7 linked regions of the Mus musculus genome follow. The protein of the gene in region 7 binds, or shares a complex with, the protein of the main gene of each other region. Links are inferred from orthologs where the notes say so. Each region holds a gene or a part of one and is shown on either strand. Other genes may lie near its edges. The genes, in order: Snrnp40, Snrpf, Lsm2, Lsm6, Snrpd3, Prpf3 and Lsm8.

Evidence for each region.
Region 1: Lsm8 (region 7) and Snrnp40 share a complex: the UniProt entries of both Homo sapiens proteins name them as parts of the U4/U6-U5 tri-snRNP complex. The link is inferred for Mus musculus from reciprocal best matches to the Homo sapiens genes LSM8 and SNRNP40.
Region 2: Lsm8 (region 7) and Snrpf share a complex: the UniProt entries of both Homo sapiens proteins name them as parts of the U4/U6-U5 tri-snRNP complex. The link is inferred for Mus musculus from reciprocal best matches to the Homo sapiens genes LSM8 and SNRPF.
Region 3: Lsm8 (region 7) and Lsm2 share a complex: the UniProt entries of both Homo sapiens proteins name them as parts of the precatalytic spliceosome. The link is inferred for Mus musculus from reciprocal best matches to the Homo sapiens genes LSM8 and LSM2.
Region 4: Lsm8 (region 7) and Lsm6 share a complex: the UniProt entries of both Homo sapiens proteins name them as parts of the precatalytic spliceosome. The link is inferred for Mus musculus from reciprocal best matches to the Homo sapiens genes LSM8 and LSM6.
Region 5: Lsm8 (region 7) and Snrpd3 share a complex: the UniProt entries of both Homo sapiens proteins name them as parts of the U4/U6-U5 tri-snRNP complex. The link is inferred for Mus musculus from reciprocal best matches to the Homo sapiens genes LSM8 and SNRPD3.
Region 6: Lsm8 (region 7) and Prpf3 share a complex: the UniProt entries of both Homo sapiens proteins name them as parts of the precatalytic spliceosome. The link is inferred for Mus musculus from reciprocal best matches to the Homo sapiens genes LSM8 and PRPF3.

What each region holds. Positions count from the first base shown.
Region 1 is NC_000070.6:130,358,893-130,362,931, forward strand, and holds the start of Snrnp40 (U5 small nuclear ribonucleoprotein 40 kDa protein), read left to right. Parts: upstream 1-1,239; 5' UTR 1,240-1,313; coding exon 1,314-1,457; intron 1,458-3,735; coding exon 3,736-3,865; intron 3,866-4,039. UniProt on the Homo sapiens protein: Required for pre-mRNA splicing as component of the activated spliceosome. Component of the U5 small nuclear ribonucleoprotein (snRNP) complex and the U4/U6-U5 tri-snRNP complex, building blocks of the spliceosome.
Region 2 is NC_000076.6:93,582,529-93,586,658, forward strand, and holds the end of Snrpf (small nuclear ribonucleoprotein F), read right to left. Parts: intron 1,800-4,130; exon of another isoform or gene 1,567-1,799; coding exon 1,502-1,566; exon of another isoform or gene 1,003-1,501; coding exon 936-1,002; 3' UTR 501-935; downstream 1-500. Other genes in the region: Ccdc38 (coiled-coil domain-containing protein 38), read left to right, coding at 1-27. UniProt on the Homo sapiens protein: Plays a role in pre-mRNA splicing as a core component of the spliceosomal U1, U2, U4 and U5 small nuclear ribonucleoproteins (snRNPs), the building blocks of the spliceosome.
Region 3 is NC_000083.6:34,980,450-34,984,653, forward strand, and holds the start of Lsm2 (U6 snRNA-associated Sm-like protein LSm2), read left to right. Parts: upstream 1-1,404; 5' UTR 1,405-1,633; coding exon 1,634-1,636; intron 1,637-1,680; exon of another isoform or gene 1,681-1,807; coding exon of another isoform or gene 1,808-1,918; intron 1,919-2,170; coding exon 2,171-2,238; intron 2,239-4,204. UniProt on the Homo sapiens protein: Plays a role in pre-mRNA splicing as component of the U4/U6-U5 tri-snRNP complex that is involved in spliceosome assembly, and as component of the precatalytic spliceosome (spliceosome B complex).
Region 4 is NC_000074.6:78,818,353-78,822,286, reverse strand, and holds the start of Lsm6 (U6 snRNA-associated Sm-like protein LSm6), read left to right. Parts: upstream 1-1,134; 5' UTR 1,135-1,239; intron 1,240-2,201; 5' UTR 2,202-2,300; intron 2,301-3,934. UniProt on the Homo sapiens protein: Plays a role in pre-mRNA splicing as component of the U4/U6-U5 tri-snRNP complex that is involved in spliceosome assembly, and as component of the precatalytic spliceosome (spliceosome B complex).
Region 5 is NC_000076.6:75,516,688-75,520,841, forward strand, and holds the start of Snrpd3 (small nuclear ribonucleoprotein Sm D3), read left to right. Parts: upstream 1-1,354; 5' UTR 1,355-1,438; intron 1,439-2,626; 5' UTR 2,627-2,647; coding exon 2,648-2,773; intron 2,774-4,154. Other genes in the region: protein GUCD1, read right to left, coding at 467-509. UniProt on the Homo sapiens protein: Plays a role in pre-mRNA splicing as a core component of the spliceosomal U1, U2, U4 and U5 small nuclear ribonucleoproteins (snRNPs), the building blocks of the spliceosome.
Region 6 is NC_000069.6:95,853,086-95,857,276, forward strand, and holds the start of Prpf3 (U4/U6 small nuclear ribonucleoprotein Prp3), read right to left. Parts: upstream 2,801-4,191; 5' UTR 2,664-2,800; exon of another isoform or gene 2,235-2,663; intron 553-2,234; 5' UTR 504-552; coding exon 359-503; intron 1-358. UniProt on the Homo sapiens protein: Plays a role in pre-mRNA splicing as component of the U4/U6-U5 tri-snRNP complex that is involved in spliceosome assembly, and as component of the precatalytic spliceosome (spliceosome B complex).
Region 7 is NC_000072.6:18,851,635-18,854,552, forward strand, and holds the end of Lsm8 (LSM8 homolog, U6 small nuclear RNA associated), read left to right. Parts: intron 1-1; coding exon 2-129; intron 130-1,966; coding exon 1,967-2,057; 3' UTR 2,058-2,418; downstream 2,419-2,918. UniProt on the Homo sapiens protein: Plays a role in pre-mRNA splicing as component of the U4/U6-U5 tri-snRNP complex that is involved in spliceosome assembly, and as component of the precatalytic spliceosome (spliceosome B complex).

The sequences.
Region 1 (4,039 bases), on a different chromosome or scaffold from region 7:
TCCAATCTCATCACACCATTAAGCCTGAGGGATCAAGTCCTCTTTTGCACCACATTCTGGAGGAGAGAGAAAACTATCGCTGGCTTCCTATTAATTTTAAAGTAAAAGCTTCAACTTCCTGCAAATCTTCATGACTTCCAGGTTCATCCCATACCATATTCACTTTAAGCTAGCGCTCTCGCTCTCGCTCTCTCTCTCCCCCCACACCGGCTCTTTGTGTCTCCCTCATCTTTCCGACTGATAGAACCTGCTGTTCTGTGCAGAACGTTCTCCCTTCCTCTCTTCCCCTAATTAGAACCGTCCCATCAGATAGGAACCGCTCAGATGTCTTTTCCTTTAAAAAGCCTTCAAGTTTATATTAGTAACTCACAGCAAGAGGCATCGCTTGTTTAGGTAGTCTTCCGATCAAATGGTTTTTGTTTAACATCAAATTTGTTTAACACGTTTCCCACACTCTGGGGTAGAGGACCATATTTCTTCAGAATGACCCCCAAACGCACTGCACAATAAATATCATTTGGACCACTTTCGAGAAGACCTGGCACGCAAGCATGATTGTTCGATTTCTCAACTAAACTGTGCTTCGGAAGAACCATCTGATACTTTCCTCATCACTGGCTGTCTCGGGGACATAAATTAAAGCCCTTTTAAAAAGACGGCTAAATCAGTGACAACTAAGTCCGCCGCCTCAGCCAAGTCCGGCACTGAAGCCTGGAGGCCAGGACTCGGGCCAGCACAGAGCTAGACGCAGAATTGGCATCCTGCAGAGCAGCTGTCAAGGGATAGCCGTCTGAGGGTTCGAGTCCTGGAGCCAGAGATGCCAAAGCTCCGCTCCAGCCTACCAAGGGACTTCTCTTTCCGGCGACACCTCCTGCCACCCCATGCTGCTAAGGCTGATAGCTGAAAAGGGCAGGCTCAGGCCTATCACCACCTCGCACCTTCCAGATTGGAACAGCCACCCGCCTGATTCCCCACACACTCACTCCGCGTCCGCGCCTAGCAGGACAGCCGCTTCATAGCTAGGAACGCCAAACCTGCTCCGCTCGTTCTCACCCACGATGCACTGCGCGCCCGAGGGGGCGGGGGAGAACGCCAGCTCCGCGACCCAATCCCAGAGTCGCCTTCTCGTGACGTCATCAGAATGGGACCAATCACAAGAGTGTATTCAGAGGGCTTTCCAGAAGGAAATGTTAGAAGCCAATTGGTTGCTCCTCTCCGGAAGTTCTGGAGGAAGAACTCAGTTGGAACCAATTGCGCGGCGCCTCCGGTCGGCGGCGCGGTTAGTGGCGGCGCCGAGGAGAGTGGCTGCCGCCATGATCGAGCAGCAGAAGCGTAAGGGCCCGGAGCTACCCCTGGTTCCCGTCAAGCGGCCGCGACATGAGTTGCTGTTGGGAGCGGCAGGAGCCGGCCCCGGAGCGGGGCCGCAGCAGGCGACTCCAGGGGCATTGCTGCAGGCGGTAAGTGGGGAGTCATCCCGCCTTTGGCCCTCCGCCCCTCTTCCTACGGATGATGTCGCCTCTGAGGGAACGGAAAGACAGTGAGCCTGAAGTTAAAATAGGCTTCTGTGAAGGTGCCTGGTGTTCTCTGTGTGGTTCATACGTGTTTCCCTAGTAGACGCCTGTTTTCAGCCCTTCAGTGGCATTGAATCATTTAAAACCTTGGCCTCAAAATCAAGACCCAAGCTTCCGCATCCTAAATCTTCAGGGGTTTAGCATAAAAGAAACATTCAGGAAAGTTTGCAGAGTGGACGAATGAATGAGAGGGGAGGCAATGGAAATGAATGATAGCTCGCTTTACTACCTGGTAGAACTTTTTTCTTTCTCTGCATTTATAATTGTAATTAACACTCGTTGGATGTTATCTTGGATGTTTTGCGTGTGAAATTTCCATTAACCATGGTACCTGACTGAAAGAAGCTGTTACTTTGCAAATGGGGAAGGCAAACTTTTTTGTATCCAGAAGATCCATGGCTCCAAGCCAGTGTAGGCTATTTATTATGGCAAAGTCCTGTTGAAAGAGAGAAGAGAAGAGATCTGTGTAACTATGATCTTTTTTTTTACCTTCTTGTTAAAACTGTTTTTATGTCATCTGACATCACTGCAGGTAGAGCTTAATTTAGTATTCCTGGTTTTTGTCTTTGAACCAAGGATTGGTTATTAATCCAGTAGCCAGGGGAATCATGGAAATATTAAGTCACATGGTATACTCTGCTGAAAACATTATGTTGGCTTTCTATTGTGCGTTTTTTTAAAAATCAAATTCTCTGTAATAATCCCCTCCTTACCTTGTTCATCTACCAGTTTTCTGGCATGTCACTTGGCTCAAGACACCGACTTATAATGTTCTTTCTTTCCTTGGTGCTTTTGCTGGAATGTTCTTTTAAATGCCCACATGGTCAGCTGTTTGCTCTTTCAAATCTTTGCTCAGACACCAGGTTTTCAGAGGGGCTTTCCTGACCACTGTGTTTCAAGTTGGAGTGTCCTGTAATCTGGAACCCATACTGTTTCTTCCCATGGCACTCAGCACTGGGTGGCTCTGTGTGCCTTTCTCTCACTTTCCACTAGAATGCAAGGTCTACTGTTTTACTGAGTGCTGTTTTAGGCGTGTGTGTGTGAGTGTGTGTGTGTGTGTGAGTGTGAGTGTGTGTGTGTGTGTTTCATATGTGGGGAGGGGGAACTCAGTGGCCAGAAAAGAATGTTGGATCCTCTGACCCTAAAGTTACAGCCCTTGAAAGCTGCCCATTGTGGATGCTGGGAACTGGACTTGGGTCCTTTAGAAGAGCAGTAAGTGCTCTTAACCACTGAGCCATCTCTTTAGCCAACATGTGACACTTTTTGAATAAAAATGTTGGATGAGTATGATCTTGGTACATTATTTGCATTTATGGATATATCAAAATGAAACCCATTGCTTATAGATAGTACATGATAATAAAAATAAGTAAGTCTGCCGGAATCTGCTAAAGAGATTTCAGGATTATTGGTAGTACACTTGTTCTTATTTAATGAGTAAGATTGCCTAGGTTTATTCTCCAAGATCATAATCAAATCTACTTTGCTAAGCCTGGCACAGTGATACACACTTGTTCTTAGGAGGACTGAAAATTTTAAGACCTTCCTGGGCTACATATTAAGACCCTGCTCATTCCCCCAAAATCTATTTTGCGTAATAAGCTGTACCATACAAGGTTTTTCAAAGGCTAGCTGGGTGAACTTGAGACAGGAAAATGGTGACTAAAATGAAGAATGTACCTGTACTCCCAGAGCTTCATCTCTTTGGGGAAAAAGAAAGGCAAGAAAGGGAAATTCAGGTAGTGATGGGGCTTTGACCGCCTGCCCTGGAGCTAGTGGAATACTGGTGTGGGGAGGTACCTCACTCAAAGTAGGTTAGTTTGAGTGATGAAAGACAGACTCTGAGGAGGAAATATTTAAAAGATACAAAATAAGGAAGGTCTCTTGTGAAAGACATCTTTCTATGTTAAGATTCTGAAGCATAAGTGGATTCAACATGATCAAGCAGTCAGAAGTCGTCTGTGGAACAGAGACAGCCTTAGGGAGAAAAAAGCGCATTGGGCATATGCTGGACTGTCCAAGGGATTGTCAGAGAGTTCTGTGAGCAGGGGTACTATCGCTGACCCAGGTGAGATCTGTGCTATCCCTGACCCAGATGAGATGCGCTGCCCCAGCTTTCCTTTGCCTGTGGACAATGGCTGCCTCACACTTGTCTTTGGTTTAGGGACCGCCCAGGTGTTCTTCCCTTCAAGCTCCAATCATGCTGCTCTCGGGACATGAGGGGGAAGTGTACTGCTGCAAGTTTCACCCCAATGGATCCACCCTGGCTTCTGCAGGATTTGACCGGCTAATACGTAAGGCACAATTTTGAACTGGAGTTACATACAGCTCTCTGCTAATAATGATCTCTTTAATTTTGAGTGCCATAGAAATCCTCAGACATCAGTCTAAATTGCCAAGTTAAACTATAGTCATGCTAAAGCAGGGCATGTGTAAAATAAAAGGAAGGAAATGTACTAATTGGAAAG
Region 2 (4,130 bases), on a different chromosome or scaffold from region 7:
CAGGACGAAGAGTACTTTTTTAGTTGAACGGGATCACGAGGATACTTTCTTAGCGAATGTTTTATGTGGATGTTGGCTTTCAGTGATGCAATACTGCCCTAGCAAATTCCAGGGCCGCAGCAGACCTTTAGCTGGAAGTTTACAGGACTAGGAACAGCAACTATTTTCTGCTGCAACTCTATTGTTCACTAGTACAGGCCATGAGCTAAGCAATACTTACTTTAGGTTGTCCCTGTTGGAGACATGTATCCAAAGTCAATTTATTGATGTAACAATAGAATGGCCTTCCTCAAAGCATGAGAATTTTAATATTTTCTAAAGCAATAAGGAAGTTTACAGCTTTGAATATACATTTTTAAAATGTATTATTCTTAAAACAACTGGACAGGTTTAAAGCTTAAAAACTAATAGACTACGGTCTCAGAACAATCATGGGGCTGGTTTTCTTTCACATTAAGCTCTGAAAACCTTATCAGAAAACTTTCAAGTGAACAAAATCATACATCTTCAGCCTAAATATCAATTTGTATTGTATTTTATCTCCATAATTATTTCAATTTTCATGTTTTGACTTAGCTATAATATACATTATTTAGTCTATGTCAATATAGAAATAATGATTTATTAATACAATATATATTAATACTAAGAAAATGTTTAACTTTATGGATGTTACAAGTGGTTTGGAAACCTTAAACAACACTGCTGCTTTTATGAGGTCTCAGTTAAACCAGCGGTGGGATTACAAAAAAAAAAAAAGAGTCCCTTGAATAAAACTGAGAGGCTTTTAAAACTTTAGTTCTAAGAATTATCCATCCATTGTTTCAACATTTGCGCTTTGCATTAAATAGTCCACAAGTCAAGTTGAAAAAAAAGAACCCCAAATCTTTATTGTATAGAAATACATATATATATAAAAAAAAAAATCCAAGATGCTATTCTCTCATTTCCCCATCTTCCTCTTCTTCTTCAACGCCTCTGATGTAGAGGACATTATTACACCTGTAACAGAAAACAGTCCATTGTGAGCTGCACTCAGAACCCACACAAGATCAATCCTCAGTGCCCCATCATCAGACTGGACACTGAACTCACAGCTTGCCACTTGTCCTGTTAGTCCTGTATAGGTGTAGTAAAGACACACCACACATTTTTACCATCATCACACTTCATCTCTACGACTTAGAATGTAGGTAGTTGCTGATACCAGACAGTGAGTACAACAGAAATCCTTAGCAGCCAGACTCAACTAAAATTCAAATTTAAATCCCTGTAACCCAGGACACTGATACAGGTTACAGCTGGAGCCAGGAGATGTAAATCAAGAGTAGGAAAATCTCAAATATAAACTGAAATCTTCCAACATGTTAGTGATTTCACAAGCTTCTGAGATCTAGTTGTAGAGTACTTCCTGTTTAATGTTTAATAGGACTAATATATTTCAGCAGGTATTTCTGAGGTTAGTTAGAACTCCTTTCATACACACAAATAAGTCTGTTACCTTATTAGAACTTCGCCCAGATGTCCAGACAGCGCCCCATCTATGTACTCTTCTGTATTTGCAAGCTTTAGACAAAAAGAAAGGTATTAGTATAGCTGCACGGGAGGGAAGAGTGCAGCATGCCTACTCGGTGAGGACCCAGTGACTGAGACTCCTCCACACCAACAACTCACACTGGATCCATAAACAGTAGCTCTAAGATTATCTTCCCATCACTCTTGTAGCTTTGGATTTCATATATTCATTAAGACATGCATGGGTATAGAACTCATGGATAATAAAGCTCGTTTCAAAGTTATTAAGCCTTCTAGATGTTATTTCTATCTGCTATTAAAGTGTCTCAAAGAAGAAAGCTTATTTGAGTAAGTTATAATTCTTAAAATTTTCTGAAAATTCAGCTCCAAAGAACCAGACATTAACTTTTCTTAGAGTAAAACATTATGAATCATATTAACTTGTTCAAATGGGTGTACAAAAGCTATGGCTAAAATATATTAGCCAACAACCAAACCAAAAAAAGTTAAGATTTTTAAAATCTCATGTACTCAATGGGGATGGGGGTGGAGGGGTGGGGGTGTGTAAATCAAGAATGATCTTTAGGGTTACTTTTGCAAATTCTATTCTAATTTTAAATGAAAAATCTTTAGCTATTTCAGCAGCTAAAATAAACTAATTATTTAGTTATATTATTTAGTTAGTTAGGGTGGGGGGGATTCGAGACAGGGTTTCTCTGTATAGCCCTCGCTGTCCTGGAACTCACTGCCTCCCGAGTGCTGGGATTAAAGGCGTGCGCCAACACACCCGGCTTTAGCTATCATTCTTACAATTAAAAAAAAAAAATATCCACCAGTGCTATATGGGGTCACCAAAGGCAGAACAAGAGAAGAGAAGGAAGCGTCTTTCATAAGCAGGCAGTGGACATAGGTAGATGTGGCTGGCATAAAGCATTTAAGACATGCAAGCTGTTTCTCTGTAGGAAAACAAAGCAACCAGAGAACATGTTGTCACTAGAACAAATGTTTGTGAGATGATTTTGTATATAACTCCTATCAGAAGGAATGTAATTGTGTGTGTATGTAGATATTTATGTTTTTGAGAAAGGGTTTCTCTGTGTAGCTCTGACTGTCCTAGAACTCACTCTGTAGACCAGGCTGGCCTTGTGCTCAGAGATTAACCGGCCTCTGCTCATAACTGCTGAGATTAATGGTACACATGGATTAATTATTTTTGACATTTCCCTAACACTTAAATGGCTTCTAAGTTGTATCTATACTAATGACCCAAAGTTTAGAGCTTACTAAATTCAAAAGCCTCACTACTGTTGAAAGGCTTTCAGTGACTGCCATCCCACCTTCTACTCTGGCCTTTTGTCTGTACCTCAAACACCCTAGTACCCCCCCCCCAATCCCCGTGGACAGAAGCTTTGCATCTGCTGCTCCTTCCAACAGATATGATTTTGTCCCAGATGCCAAAGGTCTCTTTGGAGGCGAGGCTGTTCAGTACTGCACACTCATAACCCTGGTTTTGCTTTACCGCCATGCTGTGGATCACTCCTACGCATCTGTGGTCCACAACCATCTCCCACCACTGGAACAAGCTCAAGGATATGGACTTTGTTTTGCTCACTGTTATATTCATGGTACCAAACAGACAACCAATACCTTTTGGCTAACTGAAGCAACTCAGAAACCGGGCTCGCTCAGAGATACATTTTATACCTCGGGACACTACATTAACTGCAAGATCAACTATTAGGTGGTTCATTTGTTTCAACAGGGTTTCATGTATTCCAGGTTGGCCTGCAACTTCCTGTGAAATGGGGATGATGTTTTAATTTCTAATCCTCCTGCTTCTATCCCAGGAATGACAGAATCACAGGCTTTTTTTCACAGAATCACACCAAGTGACAGGGATGAAACAAAACATTCTGGGGTTTTCAGTGTATTCATAACATTGAACTCTCATTTCTAATCCCACACTATATTCACCACTACAGGCATACTTTCCAGACTTTTCTACAGCTTTTGTAAATAACTCGTTTCAAGAATTTTCCAGACCAAATCTCTCCATATTCTTGTTAGCTGGATTTCTAGTTAATATATCCACCTAAGTAACCTTTAAAATCTGGGCAGAAACTACAATTAAACACACAAAAAAATTAAAAACAGACAAAGTGGCACATGCCTTTAATCCTACCACCCAGGAGGCAGAGGCAGGCAGATCTCTGAGTTAGGCCAGCCTGGACTACATAGCATGATACAGGCCAGCCAGGGCTACATAATGAGACCTTGTCTTAAAAAATACAAGTAAATAAATAAATAGAGGATGTGAGTACCTTGTCTTAAAAAATACAAGTAAATAAATAAATAGAGGATGTGAGTAACATATTTCTCCAAAGATGAAAGCACATGGTTAATACACACATGAAAAGGTGCCCAATGTCATTGGGGAAATGCAAGCCAAGAGGAGATACTATTTCAGATCAGGAGAATAATATTTATACATTAAAAAGAGGAACCTCGTAGAAAACAAGTGTTAGTGCAGATGTGGAAAACTGTAACTCTTGGGTACCATCTGAAGGAATCAAAACCACACAGCTGCTATGAAAAACAATATGACATCTACTCAA
Region 3 (4,204 bases), on a different chromosome or scaffold from region 7:
GGCTACAATCTATTTAGATTATTACACTAGAGAATTCCACCCTGCAATCAGCAGGTTTAGACTCTCAGAATTTTCACCTGTGTCCCGTGACTGCCTTGCACCTACAGCCAGCCTCAAGAAGAGAAGACAGAATAGAAAGTGTTTCCCTATTTATCCAGACATGATATCCACAGAAGATACAACCTAGCAACTTCCCACTTAATGTAATTATTTAAAAAAAAAAAAACAATAGGGCTGGAGAGATGGCTCAGCAGTTAAGAGCACTGACTGCTCTTCCAGAGGTCCTAAGTTCAATTTCCAGCAAGCACAGAGTGGCTCACAATCATCTGTAGTGGGATCTGATGCCCTCTTCTGGATGTCTGAAGAAAGCCACAGCATACTTACATAAAACAAGTCAATCGAAATAACAACAAAGCCCTTTCATCTCAGACCATCTCTTTCTTCTCTGGAACTTGCCTACTGAGGCTTTTCTAGTTTTTTGTTTTTTTTTTAAATCAGTCAGCTCTTGTGAACTCCTTCACAACCAGCATGTTACAAGCCTGGTAATGCTGTTCCCAGAACATCCAAAGTAGTATCTGTCGGTGATCTAGTTGAAAATATTTCAGTAATGCAGGGATGGATCAGCAGTTACAAGCATCTGTTGCTCTTCCAGAACACCCAGATTTGATTGCCAGCACCCACAAGGAGGCTCACCATTGTAACTCCAGGCCCAGGGCATTTGAAGCCCTCTCTTCTACCAGGAACTCATGTAGTACAGACATAACATACAGGCAAAAACTGTCAAACACACACAAAAAAAGCTAAGATAAAGTAAAATATTTCTGTCACTGAGTTCCAGTCAGTTTAGTCCTTTACAGACGAGTCCTATGCCAAATTATATATATATATATAACATTAGAGCTGGGATGTTGTTCATTTGCTTTGCTTAGAATGTGTCCGCTCTGGGTCAACTTTGCACCCCAAAAGACTGAAATTGAGAGAAACTTACTTACTGGGAACCTTTGATAAGAATCAGGATTTGTGTTCCGGTTTCTCTCTCACACTCACACACACCATAACCAGTGTGTATTGGTGTATATTTTATTCTCTGACACAGGGTCTTGCTATAATAGCTTTAGTTGACCTCTAAACCAGAATCCTCCCGTCTCAACTCCAGGATTCCAGTTGGGCACGAACGCTGTCCAGCTCTTAGCAACATTTTAAATTTTACTAAAGAATACGCAAGTCATAATTTTCTCAATCTTCCCAATAATTCCCCATAGAAAACGTAGACTACGAGCTAATCACGCGGCAGAGAGAAAAGTCTCAACAACCATCAGAAAAAGAGACGAACTACGTCCAACGCGCAGCTGCCACGGCCCACGCATGCGCTTGTGAGAAAGCGGCTGCTCGGGAGGAAGTGGGGGGGACAGGAAGTTCCGCCCCTCTACCGGTTTGGCGGTCCTCTCGGCTCTGCCCTACCCCGCTCCCTTTGAGCCTGAATTCAGCCGAGGTTTTCGCGGCTCCCCGTGCGCCTGCGTGATCCAGTCTTGCTTCACGCGCGGGCTCGCGCTCCGGCTCCCGCCCTGCCTCCGGCTCGCAGTCCCCGGCGCCTTCCTTCGCGGTCCAGGCCGCCCCGCGTGGCGCCAGCACCATGGTGGGTACCGTGACGTCAAAAGGGAGCGCCGCCGCTCGCGGCGGGCGGTTCGAACCGTGCGGGCGTGGGTGCGGGCACTCGTGTCGGTCGCTTGGGGCGGCAGCCAGGCCCCAGGGTTTTCCGTACAGCCTTACTGCCCACACCCCAGTGTGAGGAGGCTGCTCGGAGCCGATGGTGTTTTGGGGGAAACCTTTAGCAAGTCCAAGAGAAAGCCCACGGGCGCCGGGGGAGAACGGGAAGCGAGCCTTGCACTTCTGTGCTGTTGACGAGGACTTTGTGAGGGTGCGGTTGGGAAGCGGTCTCAGCTGGGAGGTGGTCGACTCAGAGAGTGGGTTCTAGCGTCGAGGGGTGCAACGCAGGTCCTGTCACTCCGTGGCTCCGTGAACTGCAGAGTCCCGTTTAACGGATTGTTGTTGGTTATGAAGTTTTGAGAACTACTAGGAGGGGCTACAAAGACTAGTATTTCAAAATACTGTCACGGGCTCCTCCTCCCCGTCCCTTTTCATGTGATAGTTCCTCCCTCTTTTCCAATAGCTCTTCTACTCCTTTTTCAAGTCTCTTGTGGGCAAGGATGTAGTCGTGGAACTCAAGAATGACCTGAGGTAGGTCCTTATTTTAGCGAGTTGGTGGAAGGTGGGGGTGCCGGGTGTCCTGATCCTTTTTGTCGTTGTTGTTGACAAAGTTACTTCAGAGTAGGTAGGCAAAACACAGAAGAAATACCTTTCGTCTTAAGTGTAAAAGATTAGTTTAAGAGTGAGCCTGGTATTGTGACACATGCTTGTAATCCCAACACTGAACGCAGAGGTGTGAGTTCAAGGACAGCTTGGTCTACATATGTCCAGGGCCATCCGGAGTTACACAGTGAGATACAGTTAAGTAACATGTATGTGTAGTCCTGGCTGTCCTGGAACACACAGATCCACATGCCTCTGTCTCCTGAGTGCTAGGATTTGCCTGGCTGTATCATTTGCTCTTAACGATTCAGGAGTTGGGGTAAATGCTTAAATGCTGTACCACTGGAAATATGTTTATGGGTTCTTGTCACATCCGTTAAGGTCTACTTGGTTCCTAATAGTGCTTCGAAAATTATAGTTTCATTGAAGCCGGGTTTTGTTTGCTTTTGTTTTCTTTCATGTACTGGGCATGCTCAACAAGTGAACTTCATATGCAGCCCTCATGTTTCTCTTTAAAATAACTTTTTTTTTTTTTTCCAGACAGGGTTTTTCTGTATAGCCCTGGCTGTCTTGGAACTCACTCTGTAGACCAGGCTGGCCTCGAACTCAGAAATCCGCCTGCCTCTGTCTCCCGAGTGCTGGGATTAAAGGCGTGTGCCACCACCGCCCAGCAAAATAACTTTATTTGTAGACTCTTGAAACCTTTGAACACACATCAGTGGTTGACCAGCAGGATGGTTCTGACCAGTGTGGCCAAGTTAGAAGCTGGCCCAGACTGAGGTGCAGACTAAGACCTTTCATAGTCTAAAAGTCAAATCACACGAATGGTCTACAGAGCTGTGGGGATTCATAGGATGTAGAGAGTGAGGAAGTAAAACTCAGGATCTGAGGTGGTTAAAGTTGGTTACACAGAGGGTAAATATAATATAAGGTGGGGCATGTAAGGTGGTATGGGAGCACTGGCCTTGATAACCTTGCTTAGGGGCTAGAGGGCTGGAGAACTGAGAAGACTTGACTTGTATCTTCATTATTAAAGATAAGTTGGGGGGGATAACATTTGAAATGTAAATAAAGAAAATATCCAATTTTTTAAAAAAGAAGAAGAAGCCGGGTGTGGTGGCGCAGGCCATTAATCCCAGCACTCGGGCTACACAGAGAAACCCTGTCTCGAAAAAAAACAAAAACAAAAAAAAACCAAACAAACAAACAAAAAACTCATACGAGAAAAAAAAGAGTGTAGCAAAAATAATAAAGAGTAATTCCAGCTACCAGTATGTGTACATAGGTCTGTGACTCCAAAGCAGTAAATGTTTACAAATAACAGTTAGGGAAGCTGCAGAGATTGCTCAGTGCTTTAAAAAGAGCTTGCTGGGGGCTGGAGAAATGGCTCAGAGATTTTAAGAGCACTGACTGCTCTTCCGAAGGTCCTGAGTTCAAATCCCAGCAACCACATGGTAGCTCACAACCATCTGTAAAGAGAGCGGACATCAGACGCCCTCTTCTGTAGTGTCTGAAGACAGCTACAGTGTACTTAGATATAATAATAAATAAATCTTTAAAACAAAACAAAACTTGTTGCTCTCCCTGAAAAATAAGAGTTCAGTTTCCAGCAACTACATTAGGTGATTCACACCTACCTAGAACTCTGGCTGCAAGTGATCTGATGCCCTCTTCTGGTCTCTGTGGGTAACTACATGCACATACACACAAATAATAAAAATCAATATTTTAAAAATAATAGTTGATGCTTCTGGGAGTCATGCAGATCTGGGCTGACCTTCAGTTTATTGGTTGTAAGTTTTGTTACCTTCCATGACCTCTCTCATATCCTGGAGGATGATAATACTTTGAAAGATGATTAGCTAAGTGGTGTTGATAGCAGTGCATCCCTTAA
Region 4 (3,934 bases), on a different chromosome or scaffold from region 7:
ACTACCGCTGTGGTGCCAGAGATGTTCATGCACACTAGATATGCTACCACTGTGCTAAATCCTCAGCCCCCAATTTGACCTATAAAGCAGTTTTTATTTTAGGGACAAGGCATAGCGTGCTCCTTCTTTGATTTAAATGTGACTTTACCTGTGTTCCTAATTTTATATTTCAAGAGCCTAAAATGCTGTTTGATCAATGTCTGTAATTATTTGGTCTTGACATCAACTGGAATTTTACAGACAGACAGAAGGATGTTCCTGTTCTTTTCCAAATTCCACCCAGTTGTTCACTGTCTGGGGTATCAACCAAAGGCAGGTAGATCACTGTCCAGGATATCAATCAAAGGCACGTAGAAAAGGAGGAATCCACTTTGTGTTTCAGAAAACAATTCTGCATCTTAGATCCTGTAACACTTATCAGGGTTATGTAGCTGTTGTTTGAAGGTATTATAACTTTGTTGAATGTTAAACAACAGAAACAGAATTAAAATTTAAAATATAAATATAAAATATAAGTTAAAATATAAAGAGATCGTGGGGGTAGAAGAAATTGTCTTCCTGTGACTTTTTTTCTTCCATAAATAAAAAGCATGCATTAAGAATTCATGAAGTATCCCTAACCAAGTTCCCATACACTACTTAAATAGTATCTGCATGCAGTTTCCAATTAAACTAATTTGTAACGTTTTCTAATTGATGCCGTTATAATTCAGAGTTGCTTGAATTATTTTTTTGTTTCAGCATTCCCATGGAAACAATCTCTTCATACATTTAATTTATATGCAGAAGTTAGTTTGAGGGTTTGAGGCTTTTAACTTGTATTTGTTTTAAATTATTTAAGGCTATTTCGGGGTGCTCAACAGCCATCGTTTTAACTGTAAGTTTCCGTTTCTTAATATTTTAAGGTTCTTTACTGTAAACACACACACACAAGATCACTTCTAGCTCTTGGTTGGTTGTTTTGCTTTCGTATTCTATTTTCTGGCAAAAGAGAGAATATCAGAATATCGGACCTTTACTTCAAGCCCTGGCTGGGTGCCGACGGTACCATTAAACAAACCCGGTCTTGGAAGCCAGCTCACTAACGCGTTCTGACTGTTTTTGATCCCCGCGGGTCGCCATAGGCAAGGAGGACGCTGATTGGGTGAGATGGGAAAGCCGCTGCCGGGGGCGGTTTCGGTTTTCGGCGCGCGCGTCCGCGGAAGCCCGGCCTGTGAGCGTTCTGGATCCGGCTGCAAGGTGAGCCCGCGGCCTGGGAGGAATGAATGGGTGCGGGCAGGCACTCCGGGTGGGAGCGGCTGGCGTAGGCCGCGGATGGTCCGGGCTGGCGGGGAGCGGCTCGAGCCGGGCCTGCGTCCCAGGAGATGCTCGCTGGTCTGGGCCACGCGGGCTCGCGGTGCCGGGCGCGCTCCCGTGGCGCGCGCGCTTCGCGCCGATTGGGGTGAGCGCCCAGGGTTACGGTGGCGCGCGACTTCGGCGCCCTCCTCCACCCGCGAGCCCTGCGCGACGGAAAGTAAATACAGACGAGCGGAGGAAATGGTCCTTGCTGACGGCCTCGGCACACCAACTCCCTTTCTCTTGTGTGGGCCTGTTTCTGTTTCAGCTAAGACCACCAAGTTTTTTAACCACACACCAGTATTTAGTTTTATACTTACATTAAAATGAGACAAGTTGTGATTTTAAAATTCATTGATCTCGTTTGGGCCCCCTGTTTTATTGTGTGGATCTCATAAATTATTCAGCTGTTTCCCAGGCTGACGTCTTTGGGTGTGAGTTTTTTGCTTCATTTTCGCATCCCGAACGATATCGTGATGCCTTAACTTCTATTCCTCAAATTTTCAATTACTAGCATAGATGGTTCTTGCACATTGCGAGACTGGTTTTTCTTAAAGTGTTAGTAATTTATTTGGCTCTTCAAAACCGTGAAAGGGCCTACTGTGGTTCTAAAGTAGCAAAGCACAGCCTCACTTTGGAATTACTATTGGGAGTTTGAACTTGCAGGCTGTGACTGTGTGTGTGTGTGTGAGAGAGAGAGAGAGAGAGAGAGAGAGAGAGAGAGAGAGATAGAGAGACAGACAGACAGACAGACAGACAGAGACAGACAGAGAGACAGACTGACTGACTGACTGCACATGTTAATCAGATGCTGGAACAGGAAGAGACAGCCAGTACCCATCTAGCCTAACTTCCTTATTTTGCAGATGAGCCTGGGGCCGTGACAGGTGAAATGGTGATGAGTTACGCAAGCTGCACAGATAATTAAGTAGCAGAGATTAGAACTCAGGTTTCCTGCCTCCCAAGTGAGTACCCCTAACGACTGCAGCAGCTCTTCTCTCACTGAAGGGTGGCCTACTAGATAATAGAACTTCTTTAAAGAAAGTTTTGTTTTGTTTTTAACTCCCTGGCTTATTTTCTACTTTTGGATTGAGGGACTGGAAAATAGAAAAGTTACATTTTTGTGTTCAGCACTAGAAATTTATTTATTTTTTTGAAGGTCAACCCTTTCAAGACTTTGACGATTGCTTCCAGCTTCCCCGTGTTGGGATCAGATACTTCTGATAAGTGCTACTGTTATCCCTCCCAGTACCGAAAAGTGCATGGACGTTCAGGTTTCCTCTGTGTTTACATATAAACTGTGCAGTCTTCCTGTGCCCTTCACATCATCTCTAGATTACTCACAACGTGCCATTTAATGTCACTGGTTGCAGTAGAGTATTGCTTAGGGAGTACAGCAAGGGGAAAGTCTGTGTCTGGGTAGCAGAGAGACCGCTGGACAAGTAATTACAGCTTCATTTTACCAGGTGAGGCAAGGTTGGCTGGATCCGTAAACACTTTAAACCCACAGACACAGAGGGGCTTGCCTACTCAGCATCTGGTTCTCACGCCAAGGCTCGCCTTTCCTAAAATCCCGTGGTGTTTAAGCCAGAAAACCGAGAGAGAGGGAACGAGGTGGTGGCTAGGGCTCCCTGGCAGCATTTCTGTCAGCTGACGTGTTGAACCACTCCCACCACTCAGTCCTTCGTTGTAGAGTGCTGTCCTCTGAGCCAGCAGTTCCCACCCCAAGGTCACAGCCCCTTTGGGGGTGTCTGGCGACCCTTCCTCGGGAATTGCATGTGCATATCAGAGATTTACATTACAAATCATAACAGTAGCAATAAAATTAACCTTATGGTTGGGCTCACTATACCATGAGGAACTGTGTTAAGGGCTCACACATTAGGGAGGTTGAGAACCACTGCTGTACACTGTAGAGTCTTGAGGGACATCCCTGACCTCTGTAAACTAGATCCTAGTTACCACTCTCCTGTAGTGACAGTACAGACTGTAGACATTTTCAAATGTCCCCAGGGTGAGGCACAAAAGTCACCTCTGGTTGAGAGCAGCTTGCTTTTAGGAGTTAGCCTAAGTAACCCAATTGTCAGGGCACTCATGGCCAAACCTGGACACCTCGCAAGGGTGACCTCTGACATCATATGCACGCTGGAGCAGCTGCTTCTGCCCCGCCCCACTACATAAGACAAACGAGAAAAACATGCAGTAAGAAGCAAACACTGAGTAAGTGTCAGAAATCTGTATGTGACCAGGCTTCTTCCTAGGCTTGGCTCTGACCACCAAGCATTTCTGTTTTCCTTTCTTTTAGTATTTAATGGTTGTTAGAAAAGAATTGCAGGCTCGTAGCTGTTGAAGTGCGTGCATGATGCTTTAGTAGCCATGCCTGTTTAGTAGCTATGGTTGTAGACGGGTAAGGGAGGGATTGGACTTTCTGATACCATCTTTGAATGCCTCTTCCACACACAGTCTGTTCAGGTGCCAAGACTACTAGAGAAGTGAGATTTTTCTTGTCCTCTTGAATTTTTAAAGTCTCTTTGGAGACTGAGTCTAACATGGCTAATATATATCACTGGGTGAATACAGTTTGATACACACACTGCAT
Region 5 (4,154 bases), on a different chromosome or scaffold from region 7:
AGACAAAAAGCGCTGAGAAAAAGATGTTCCCTTTGCTGGGTGCTCCCAGGCCATTCTTTTCCCCCTCTTTCCCGCCCCTTTGCTGAGAGCTCTCAAGCCATTCTTTCCCCCTCTTTCTCGGCCTCAGGCTTTCCACAGTTCCCCGGGGAATAGGATCACCCAACGTGCTTCAAGCAGGGCTATTCGATTCTGGACAAGGTTGTGCCTTTTTGCCCCTTGGACTTTTCCACTTGACGGCTCTCAGCACTCCCTGGGCTTCAAGCCCCAGGAGACTCAGGAACGACCCTAAGTGGAGGACAGGAGATGAGAAGGAATATCCACCTAGCTAGGACCCACTAGAAGCTCCAGGCTGGGCTGAGGCCGCAGACGACCCAAGGTCGCGCGCGGCCAGACCCTGCCCGGCTCTAGGGCGGAGTCCCCCTCCGTTCCCCCGGTTGAAGGCAAGGCCCTGAAGAGAGGCACTGACCGGGCTCGAGCGGCTGCCCCGCTGCCTCTGCCTCCGTCCTCATGACCCGGATGGCGCAGGGCGCCCATGGCCCCGGCCTGGAGCTGATTGCAGCGGCGACTTCTGCTGGGCAGCGAGCGCGGCCAGTGAGCGCAGAGTTCCTCCTCCTCCGCCTCCGCCGCCGCCGCCGCCACCGCGGTTCAGAGCCGGGTAGGCGGTGGCTAGGCCGCCTCAAGCCACGCCTAATCCCTTCCAGGTCTGGGCGCTGGAAACCCGCCCCTTCCATAAGCCACGCCTCTTCCCTTCCACCCCCACTTCTCCTTCCAGAACCCGCTACCCGTAGGTCCTTCCCTGAAACGCTCCGGGGGCCCCTCCCCCTCCCCGAGCCCCGCCCCTCCCCGAGCCCCGCCCCCAAAGCCCTTCCCCTAGCGACGTGGGCTCCCCACGCTCTCCCTCCGCTAGGTCTGTTCTTCTGCAGCCTCAGATGGAAGCTCTGGTTCTCCGCAGTGCCTTATCGAGACTCCAGGGAACACTTTCCCGACTCCTTTTAGGTCTTCTTACCCAGACAAGGAATAATGAGAGTTCCCAGGGCTCAGTGCGTCCCTTACCTGCCGGTGGCCGGATCCAAAGCTTAAATCTCTAGTCCAAGCCTCACTTCCTGTCTCCCCAGAGCACTGGGCTCAAGCCCAGATCCCGCCCAATCCGCCACTACAGTACTCAGGGTTACCATGTTCCCTTGTTGGGCTCCAGGATTGGTGTTTCCGGCGGTCCCCCGGGCCCTCTCCGGTGCCGGAACTATTGTGCTAGAGCCCTGGTTTCCCCAGCCGGCTAAGTGAGAGTGAAGGGCAAGTAGGCTTAAAGGAAAGGGAGGGGCCTGCGCAAGGCATTCTGGGAGCGCGTGGTATTCGTGAGAGTCGGGCCGGTCGTTCTCTCGCCTTCGCCTTCTAACGTTTGTGCCAGAACCGGAAAAAAAATAAAGCCTGCAGTTAATTGGTGAGGAGAGGCGGCTAACGGGAGAGAGGAGGCCAGGGCTTCCCCAGGGGGTTTAGGAGCTGGAAGGGCCGCTGCGGAGGAGCTCAGCGGGGCTTGCTTAGCGGAGGGCGGGAAGCCAGGGCCTATCCAAAGCTCATCTCCCGAACCCTTGAACAGTTATTAATTTACGCCTAGTCTGCACGTTCGGTGCCTTCTCAGGTCACCGATTTCCGAAGCTTACGGGCAGTCATTTCTTGCTAATTACCTCCTTTCCTTTTGGATCATCATTTACAACGTCCCTTTCATCCCTGCCTCCACTCCCATTCCTGCAGTGGCCCTCTTTTCCACGCTGCTGCAGAAGTTTAATCAAGTTGCCGTGCTATATGTTCGATCCACTTTGTAGATGCTACTCTTTTTTTTTTGAACCTTTGGCTATCATCCTGCAGTGTTTCCCTACCATTTTCAGCATGGAAACCCACACTCCTAAAGTTGAAAGCCGTGGTTCCTCACCGAGAGAGAGAGACTGTGTTTAGCATCCTTACAGTCTTCTCATGCAAATAAATGGTGTGCTCCGGTTTTGAGTCGTTTCCAATCTCAGCATTTTAAAAGCCCTGTGCATAGTCTTTGTCTTGTAGTGAGACTTAAAGTCGAGCGTTTACCCTATTTCTCTGCTTGATGAACATTTCCTATTTATAGCACCGTAGCCTTGACAGTTTTGGTCTGCTTTTTGGTGGGGATTCAAAACGCTGGATTGAAAAGCGCAAGCTCTTTTTCCTAGCTTCCTTGGGGCTCAGGTCTATATGTACTATTAGGTTCTGTAGCCTTTATCCAAATGTGGTGGCTGACTACTTGGGATATTTCTGGTGTGACTGAAAGACTGAGTTTGCTTTTATTTGCATTTTATTTAACTCCATGTAAACAGTGATTTGTTTACACTCCGGGTCTATATCATAGCCCTTTTAGTGACTATAAAGGGTCATATGGCTGGGATGAGAATGGGGGTAGTACTCTTTGTTCCCATTACTTTTCATTGTCCAGCTTACCATCCTTCCCTACCCTACGTGTTGCGCTAATTTGCTGTGGTGGTTCCTTGAGGCCAAGAGCCACACTCCTTCCACAGGAAACGCAGCTCTTGACATCATTTACAAAGCCCATGGCGTGCCAGTCCTTAAGCTCTGAAAGATGACCATCGTCTCTCTTTCCCTGTAGCCCGGGAAGAGTCCTGCCAAGATGTCTATTGGTGTGCCGATTAAAGTCTTGCACGAGGCTGAAGGCCACATAGTGACGTGTGAGACCAACACCGGGGAAGTATACCGAGGGAAGCTCATTGAAGCAGAGGACAACATGAACTGTCAGGTATCCTGCTTGGCACCAGGGCTGGGAAAGGGCTGTGGCTTCTATCCTGTGGGTAGAGCGGTGTACTTGGAGGTCTTAATGAAGTTATTCTCATCAAACAGTTATTAACTAAGTACTTATTACCTGTCAAGCACTCTTACAGGCTCTAAGATTTTATGTCAGTATAGACTTAGCCTTGAGGCAGAAAAGTCATTTGACAGCCTGTGGTTGTACGTGTGTATCCGAGCACTTGAGAGGCTGAGGTAGATTCTCGAGTTCAAGGCCAGTCTGGGCTTTATAGCAAGACCACACTGCTTTTGGTAGGGAGTCAGAATGCTGAATTGAAAGCACAATCTCTTTTCCTAGATTTCTCTGGGGTTAGGTCTATATTTACTGTCAGGTAGCCTTTAGCCAAATACAGTTGCTAAGTACTTGTCTATAAAACAACCAGTTAAGTTTCACTTTTCTGTCTCAGAGTCGGTCAGGTTCAGAGCCAGTGTCTGCTTCCCAGCACAGTGTATAATTTGCAGGATCTTCTACTCACGTATTGTGTGTGCTTACTTTTGTCTTGGAGAAAGTTTCATCTGATAAAACTGCCAAAGTTTTGGCATATGGTTTGGGGGTTTTCCCCATTAATTAAGAACTTGAGCTTTGGAATCAGAGAATTCCCTGATTCCAAATTGAGTTGGGCCATAATGATAGGACCTTGGGTATCCTGGTCACTTGTTCTCCCCTGAATAAAATGAGGATGGAGTTGTTTTGGATCCTCTGTGCTGTAAATGCCAACCCAGAATTAGATACACCAGAGACTTTGGGGAGGTGGCGTGAAGGACGCCAGTGACCGAGCAGGATTGCGGAAGTGATTGGTTACTTTGCTTGTTGCTGTGATCAAATTCCTGACCAAAGCAACTTAAGGAAGGGGGAGTTTATTTCGACTCACAGTGTGATGAGACAGTCTGATGCAGAAGAAGTCATGGTGGCAAGAACTTGAGGAGGGTACTAACTAGTCACATTGAATCTGCAGTCAGGAAGCAGAGATGAGTGCCAGGACTTAGCCCAGTTTCTACTTTTCACCTCCACCTAACCTAGACAATCCCTCGCAGACACGCCTGTCCCTTCAGTAATTCTAAATCCATCAAGTCGGTAATATTAATCATCGTAGCAGGAGGGTCTTCAGTCCAGGAAAGGAAGGCAGAGTGAGCAAAAGGAGCCTCAGGCTACAACATGGTGCTGAGGAAGTTTCACCCAAGTAAGAGGAGTAACTGGAGCCAGTAATGGACTGGCTCTGATGTTTCTGCTGTGGTCAGTCCCTGGCAGCCTGCTGGAAGGGCTGTCGCAGCGTGAATGCCCTGGCAGGTCCCCCAGAGTGGCAGCTGGAGGGTGCCAACCTGTTGTCTCCTGA
Region 6 (4,191 bases), on a different chromosome or scaffold from region 7:
CAGCTGGAGAGCTGCTGATGTAGAGGAAATAGACTCATAAGTCTTAGGCCATCCTCAGCTAGTGAGCTGGAAGCCAGACTGGGCTCCATGAGACCCTGTCTTTTAAATAAAAAAGGGGGAGGAGGGAGTGGTGCACACTGTTAACCCCTGCACTCAGGAGGCAGAGGATGGTGGATCTCTAAGGAGTTCCAAGTCAGACACAACTACACAGGAGACCTTGTCTCAAAACAAGCAAATAACAAAAGGAGAAGGGGGCTAGCACCACCTTTCCTTTAATGCTCCTAACAGGGACAACCTGGGGAAGTTCAAATCAGTGTTTGGAATCACTATACGTCAGAAGAGTGAGAGAGGTACACACCAGCCGCCTTCTTTTTGTCCATGCCCTTCCCCACACAGTTCAAGGCTGCAGTGACCACTGTGGGCTCTGAGAAGCCCAGCACTCTCTTCACCGTCTTCTCTATCCATGGCTTCAGCTCATCCAGCTCCCGCTTAGACAGCGCCATTTCGGAGAAAATGGAGAATGAGAGCTCCAATGGGACAAAAAAACTACACCTAAAAGAAACCAAGCAAGAGTCAGAGAAAAGGAAAACAAAACAATCAAGATAATAGCATAATAAGAGTGCTTTTCCCCATTCCTATTTTCAACCCCAAGCACATCTCTCCACTTCATATGAAGGGAAATACATTCCCTAAAACCAAGCTTCAAAACAGAAGGAAGGGGTCCATTAGTTTTTGTTTTTGTTTTTTTTTTTTTTTGAGATACGGTCTTACAATGTAGCTCATACAGAACTCAACACTTGGCAACTCTCCTGTCTCCACTTGCCCAGTGAGAAATTCTAGGAGCATACAACCATGCCCCACTCATTTGATATTTTAATTCTAACTCAGCATCAGTCATCATTGCTATCTAAAGAATGAACAAACTAGGAATAACGTAATCTGAGGAATGGGTTCTAACTCTGACCCTGTCACACAAAAGACTGGCAAACAGAACATCTGAAGAGTCAATCTAGAAGTCAACTTCTGCTCTGGAAGCCATTCTCTAACCTAACTTTGACCTAAAACTTGTCTAACGGATTCAAAGAAGAGGGTTTATTCAAGTCAGTCCTCCTGTGTTAAATCTCATAATCCTTAAGAATGCTGTCACCTTTCTCTGTAGTTTTATTCATGCTGGTAAGTATTCTATACACCAACATGATTTTTTTATTACTTAACACAGTTGGAGAAAAATTTCAACACTATTCATGCTTACATTTGGGTAATCTTAAATCTCAACATCTTCACCAGCATAAAGATAACTTAATTTCTGATTTTCTTCCTAATGGCTGCATGTCAATCTATTGACTGCACCGACCTCAACTTCCCATAAGACCTCCTCTTAGCACTGCCATGCATCTTAGTATGATCTGGGAATTACTCTTTCAAGATGTTTAAAGACATCTAAAAAATGCAACCTCAGAATGATCATACAAGCCTGTGATCCCAGCACAAGGGGAATCAGGAGTTCAAGTCCAGCCTTGGCTACAGAGTTCAACATCACCGGTGGCTACATGAGACCTTGTCATAAAAAAAAAAAAAAAAAAAAAAAGATGCAGTCTAATTAGCTCCTACATTCTTGACAGATTTCTCTCTCATAAGATCTGTCAATACACAGTATTTAATACATCTGAATGAATCTGGAAGGCTGTTTCTCAGTGACAACTTTTATGAATAATCCTGGGATAGCTTTTTTGGGCCATCATGAGATAGCAGTATACTGCCTATCAAAAAGAAAGCAACCACAGGCACTAAAAGTGGAGAAGAAAGCCCATTTAAGATAGAATATAGTAAGCACCACCATTCATAAGCCCTTAGGAAAGCAAGTTAATTCCCGAGAGCCTCAGTATACTTATCTTAGAAAATGAGACATCTGGTATAACACTCCATTCAATAAATACTTAAGTTACTATTTCTTGTCAAGCAGAATACTTACTGCATGTAAGGACACACACAGCAGTGAACAAAACAGCCAAGAATCCTCATGTTAATGGGACTTACAACCCACTACAATTGAATAATAGGCTAGAAAGTTTAAGCAATTTTCAAAATCCAGAGTAATAGGTGAAGCATATTAAGCATATTGGATGTAAGCTCAAGAAATATACTAACAAATGGATGTCTTCAAATTCGACCCGAATGTGCAAACGAAACAGTCAATGGATAAGAAAGTTTCAGTCAGTAGAGTTGTCACTAACCAGATGTTCAACTCTAATAGCGAGGGGGCGTCAGCGTCGGTGGGGGGCTGGGGGGTGGAGGGGAAGGGGAAGGGGAAGGGGAGGGAGGCAGAACGCTGTCTTCTGAATGAGCAGGTAGCAGAATCTCATCTTCCGAAGGGATTCCTTACTTTTCTACGCTACAAGCCCCTGGAACCCCATGCTCCGGTCTTTGCTATCTTCCCACCTGGCCCCGGCCCCACCGAGTCCGCGCTAACTCCTCACCTCAGGGCAGGTTTGCCCACCCTGCTGCTTCCCGCCCCCGCCCTTTGCCTTCAGCCAGCCCATTCTGACTTCTTCCCCGGACAGAACCAGGGAGTCCTCCCAGCCTGCTTCCCGCCGAGCACTCCCGCCCTGTCCAGCCGCTCGCACCGAAGGCTACAGCCTTTCGGGCGCGGGGCCACTACTCACCTCACAAACTTCAGCCCCTGAGACGGAGCCCGAACGTTACACCGGAACCGGAAACCTTCCGGTTGCCCTACGGCCCGCCGTCGCTACCGCCACACACCGCCACGCTGCGGTCCCTACGGCACGTGACTACGGAAGGCGGGGCCTCAGCTGCGCAGCCGCGGTATCAAGGTGCCGGCCGCGGGGCGCACGCGCCGCGGGATCCTAAAGCCTAGTCCGCGGGTTGTCCCGGAGCGATGCCAACGTTAGTTCGGGCATTATTTCCCGGAGCAGAAATCGGTTGGCATCACATTCCCTCGGGTCCAAAGAGTTAGTGCGCTAAGATTATCACTTAGAACTAAAAGCAAGGACGTCCACATTCGTACTCAAAGTGTCCTTTCTAGTTTAAAAAAAAAAAAATTGTGATCTCTAGCATTAGCTGCCCTCCCTTAACTTTGCCTCCCTAATTTAAAATCGATACCAGAGACCAGGCAACAAAAAAGAACAGATTCAGAGCTATCCCCTGGCTTCCCATTCGCCAATGAAACACCAAAACCTGCCTCACTTCCTAACCTCTAGGGATAACAGTATTCCAATTGCTAGCTCAGCCTCAGAAACCAGACTACTTTCTCGCTTGTCGCTTTCTGCCTTGCATGGCTCTTTACTAAGAAAACTACAAGATTTGCACTCCACTCTACTTCGGGTTTGTGCTCAAATTAGCCTTAGAGAAGCCTTTCTGGCCGCCCTATTTAATTTTGATACTTGACGCTCTAGAGTCCCACTTTTTTTTTCTTTTTTCTTTTTTTTTTCCTTATTGTACTTGTAGTATCATCTACCGTATTCATAAAAGTTAACTTAGGCTTTGTACTAGTCAGGGTTCTCTAGAGTCATAGAACTTATGGGTAGTCTCTGTATAGTAAGGGGATTTGTTGATGACTTACAGTCTGTAGTCCAAGTCCCAACAATGGGCAGCAGCAGCTATGAAAGGAAGTTCAAGGATCTAGCAGTTGCTCAGTCCCACAAGACAAGCAGGTGGAGAAGAGAGAGAGAATCTTCCTTCTTCCAATGTCCTTATGTAGGTCTCCAGCAGAAGGTGTGGCCCAGATGAAAGGTGTGTGCCACCAAGCCTTCAACTCAAAGATCCCCCAGTCTTAATTTTCTGGAATTTATAGCCACTATGCCTCAAGATCTCCGTGCCAAGATCCAGGTCAGAAATTGTATATCTCAGCCTCCAGATTAGGATCACAGGTGAGCCTTCCAATTCTGAATTGTAGTTCATTCCAAATATAGTCAAGTAGATAACCAGGAATAGCCACCACACGCTTAGTGCTTATACTTACAGTAACACTCATACAATTAAGTACTTAATAAATACTTGTCTACCATGGCAAGTTCCCCACTACACATCCCCCAAATAAAATGTAAAACTTTTTTTTTTTTTTTTTTTTTTTTTTTAAGGAATGGCAGTTCCTCTGGGAAAGGTGGGGGTAGTGGATAGAGGTTAGATAAGGGACATCAAATGCAGTTAGGTAAGAGAAAGTACTTCTGGGAC
Region 7 (2,918 bases):
GGGAACACTAAAAGGTTTTGACCAGACCATTAACTTGATTTTGGATGAAAGCCATGAGCGGGTGTTCAGCTCTTCACAGGGAGTAGAACAAGTGGTGTTGGGGTTATACATTGTGAGGGGCGACAATGTGTAAGTACATAAGTCATTTTGAGTACATTTGTGCTACTGGTATGTTTGCTTTATGGAAGAGAGAGTTTCTCCAACATACATGATGCCATATGTATCATAGAATTGTGCACTTAACTTGTTTTGTAGGTAGAGCTTATCTTATATATAATTCTAAATGCTGTATGTTTAGATGCCTCAGGGGTCAACTAAAGTGATCTCACAAACAGTTGCCTACTGAGATTTCCTGTGTCTTTACTTATTTGAGAATCGGGGTTTGAACCTAGAATCTTGTACATGGGAACAGGCAGTCTACTACTGAGCTGCGGTCTCTCTTTTTACATCTTGAGACCAGACCTTCCTAAGTTGCTCAGACTGACTTTCAACTTTAGGTTCCCCTACAACCGCAGCCTCCTAGTAGCCTAAACCATCATTGTGTGTGCCCAGATATGTCCACAAAGGGCCCTGCTTTTTCATCACATTTCTTAAAGAGGCTTCTTAACGATTTGGAAAATATCTTTTAAAAAATCTCCCATTTGAATTATTTTAAATGGTCCACGCTCATTTAACTGTTACTATTTTTAGTGTAGTGGATGTACTTAATGTGTGCCACGATGCACCTATTGTTTTGTTGAATTAGGACCCTGACAGTGTAGTTTGAGAAAGGCTGTAACCATTTCGAGCAGTGCTCTTCACAGTCACTTTTTCTAATGATGGGAAGCCTCACGCCTCAGCATTTTCCACTGTTACAGCTACTTGCTTTGTATAGCTGTGGTGTGTTTGAAAAGCGGCTGGTGACCAAAGAACTAATTTAAAAATTGATTTTGGGGTTATGTAGTTTGTTTGTTTGGTTTTGGTTTCTGAGGATAACCAGGCTGACCTGGAACTTGTTACCAACCCAGATTTACTTCATTTTCCTTTAGCTTCCCAGGTGTTAGCATTATACATGTAATCTACCTCCTGTGGCTAACATTTAAGTTTAAATACTATGAATAGTCAAAATATGACTAGAGGACAGCAAAAGACGTTAGTAACTAGGTGGTTTGAAGGGCTCCGTAAGATGTAGGGAAGAGACACTGAACTTACTTTGTGGATATGCTTAAGATTAATTTATTAATACTGTACACTTATTTTAAAATGAACACATGCTCTAGGCACTTAACTTTATCTGAAAACTGTATTTTGGTAAATATGATCAACTGATCCTTAATTAAAATTGTGTTTACAATCTATAAAATAGTCTCTGGAGATGACTTTTGGCTTAGATTATAACGTGAGTTATAAAGAGTGATCCAGAGCAGAGGGCCAGGTCCTCTGACCACAGCAGTACTGATGAAACACTGGGGGTGTGTGGACTGATGATTACGGTGCCTCCTGGGTCTATGTACAAAAAATAATTCAGAATTAAACATTTACCCTAAACCTGCTGGGACTAGAGCCTGCTTTCAGGAACCCATGAAAACAGTTTTAAGAATTTTTGCTAATAAATGGATTAGGGTCTTGTTAGTAGCTTGCAATTAGCCCCACTACCCCATGGAGACTTTTGTTTGCCTCATATAAATGCTGCAGATCAGATGTCAGTTTTCCAAAGAGCTGATGTTCAGACTCTTCACAGTATCTCTTTACATATGTTCCTGTCCTACCTTCACATTACTTCTTGAGTCCCATGACATGGGTAATTCAGTTCACTTAGTGATGAGATGAAATGGCTTTTGTTTCCTACCTTGTATTTTTGCTGCACCTTCTCAGTTCCACATGTTTAAGAAGCATGAAACAAGATGCTGTAGTTAATGAGACTTTAGAAATGTATGTCAATTTATTTTAGAAATGTTTTGACTCTTTTTTCTCATATTAATAACAGAGCAGTCATTGGGGAAATAGATGAAGAGACGGATTCTGCACTCGACTTGGGGAACATCCGAGCAGAGCCTCTGAACTCCGTAGCACACTGAGACCTCAGTGTGTAGTGAGATGTGTGTAAATCCTGTACAGAAGCGTCTGTCCTGAGAGTGATGTTTAGGGTTTTTATGAGTGTGTAATTGTGCAGTTTGACTTCATGTTGGTACACTGTAATATGTAATTTAAATATTTCTACATTTTTTATTGGGAAACATTGCCTAAATTAATAAATGTGGTTGGCTGGTTTATTTTTCTACCAAATGATACAAAAATCTAAGGATCATTTGAAAACTTAGAAAATACCATTACTTTTGGTAATTTAATATTTATGGGAAATTGGCTGTAAAGAGAACTTAGACTATTATTGTAACTTATACTAATGCAAATAATAGTAATAAAAGACACATTTCTTTTTGTGGTTTTCTTTTCTTTCCTTTTTTTTTTTTTAGAAATACCAGATAGTAAATGGCCGTCTACAGGTAACTGTCATAGAGTTTATCCCAATGTGGTACAGTTCTCCAGTAGTTGGAAAAATTGTGTCTAAATTTTTAGATGCCTGTTAAGGTCACAAGATTTGGTTTCTGAAAGAAGATTTTGTGAATGTTAAATGCCATTGTACTACTGAATTTTTTTAAACTAGAGTGAGGAATATCTCTATTCAAAGAGCTTTTGTTTAATGTGGGAAATTAGTTAAATCAAGAGCAGTGCTCTCTGCTGTCTCTCATTACTTAGTCCATGAGGCAACTTTTGTTGTTTTGTTTTTTGTTTTTTTGTTTTGTTTGTTTTCTCAAGACAGGGTTTTTCTGTGTAGCCCTAGCTGTCCTGGAACTCACTTTGTACACCAGGCTGGCCTTGAACTCAGAAATCCGCCTGCCTCTGCCTCCCAAGTGCTAGGATTAAAGGCATGCACCATC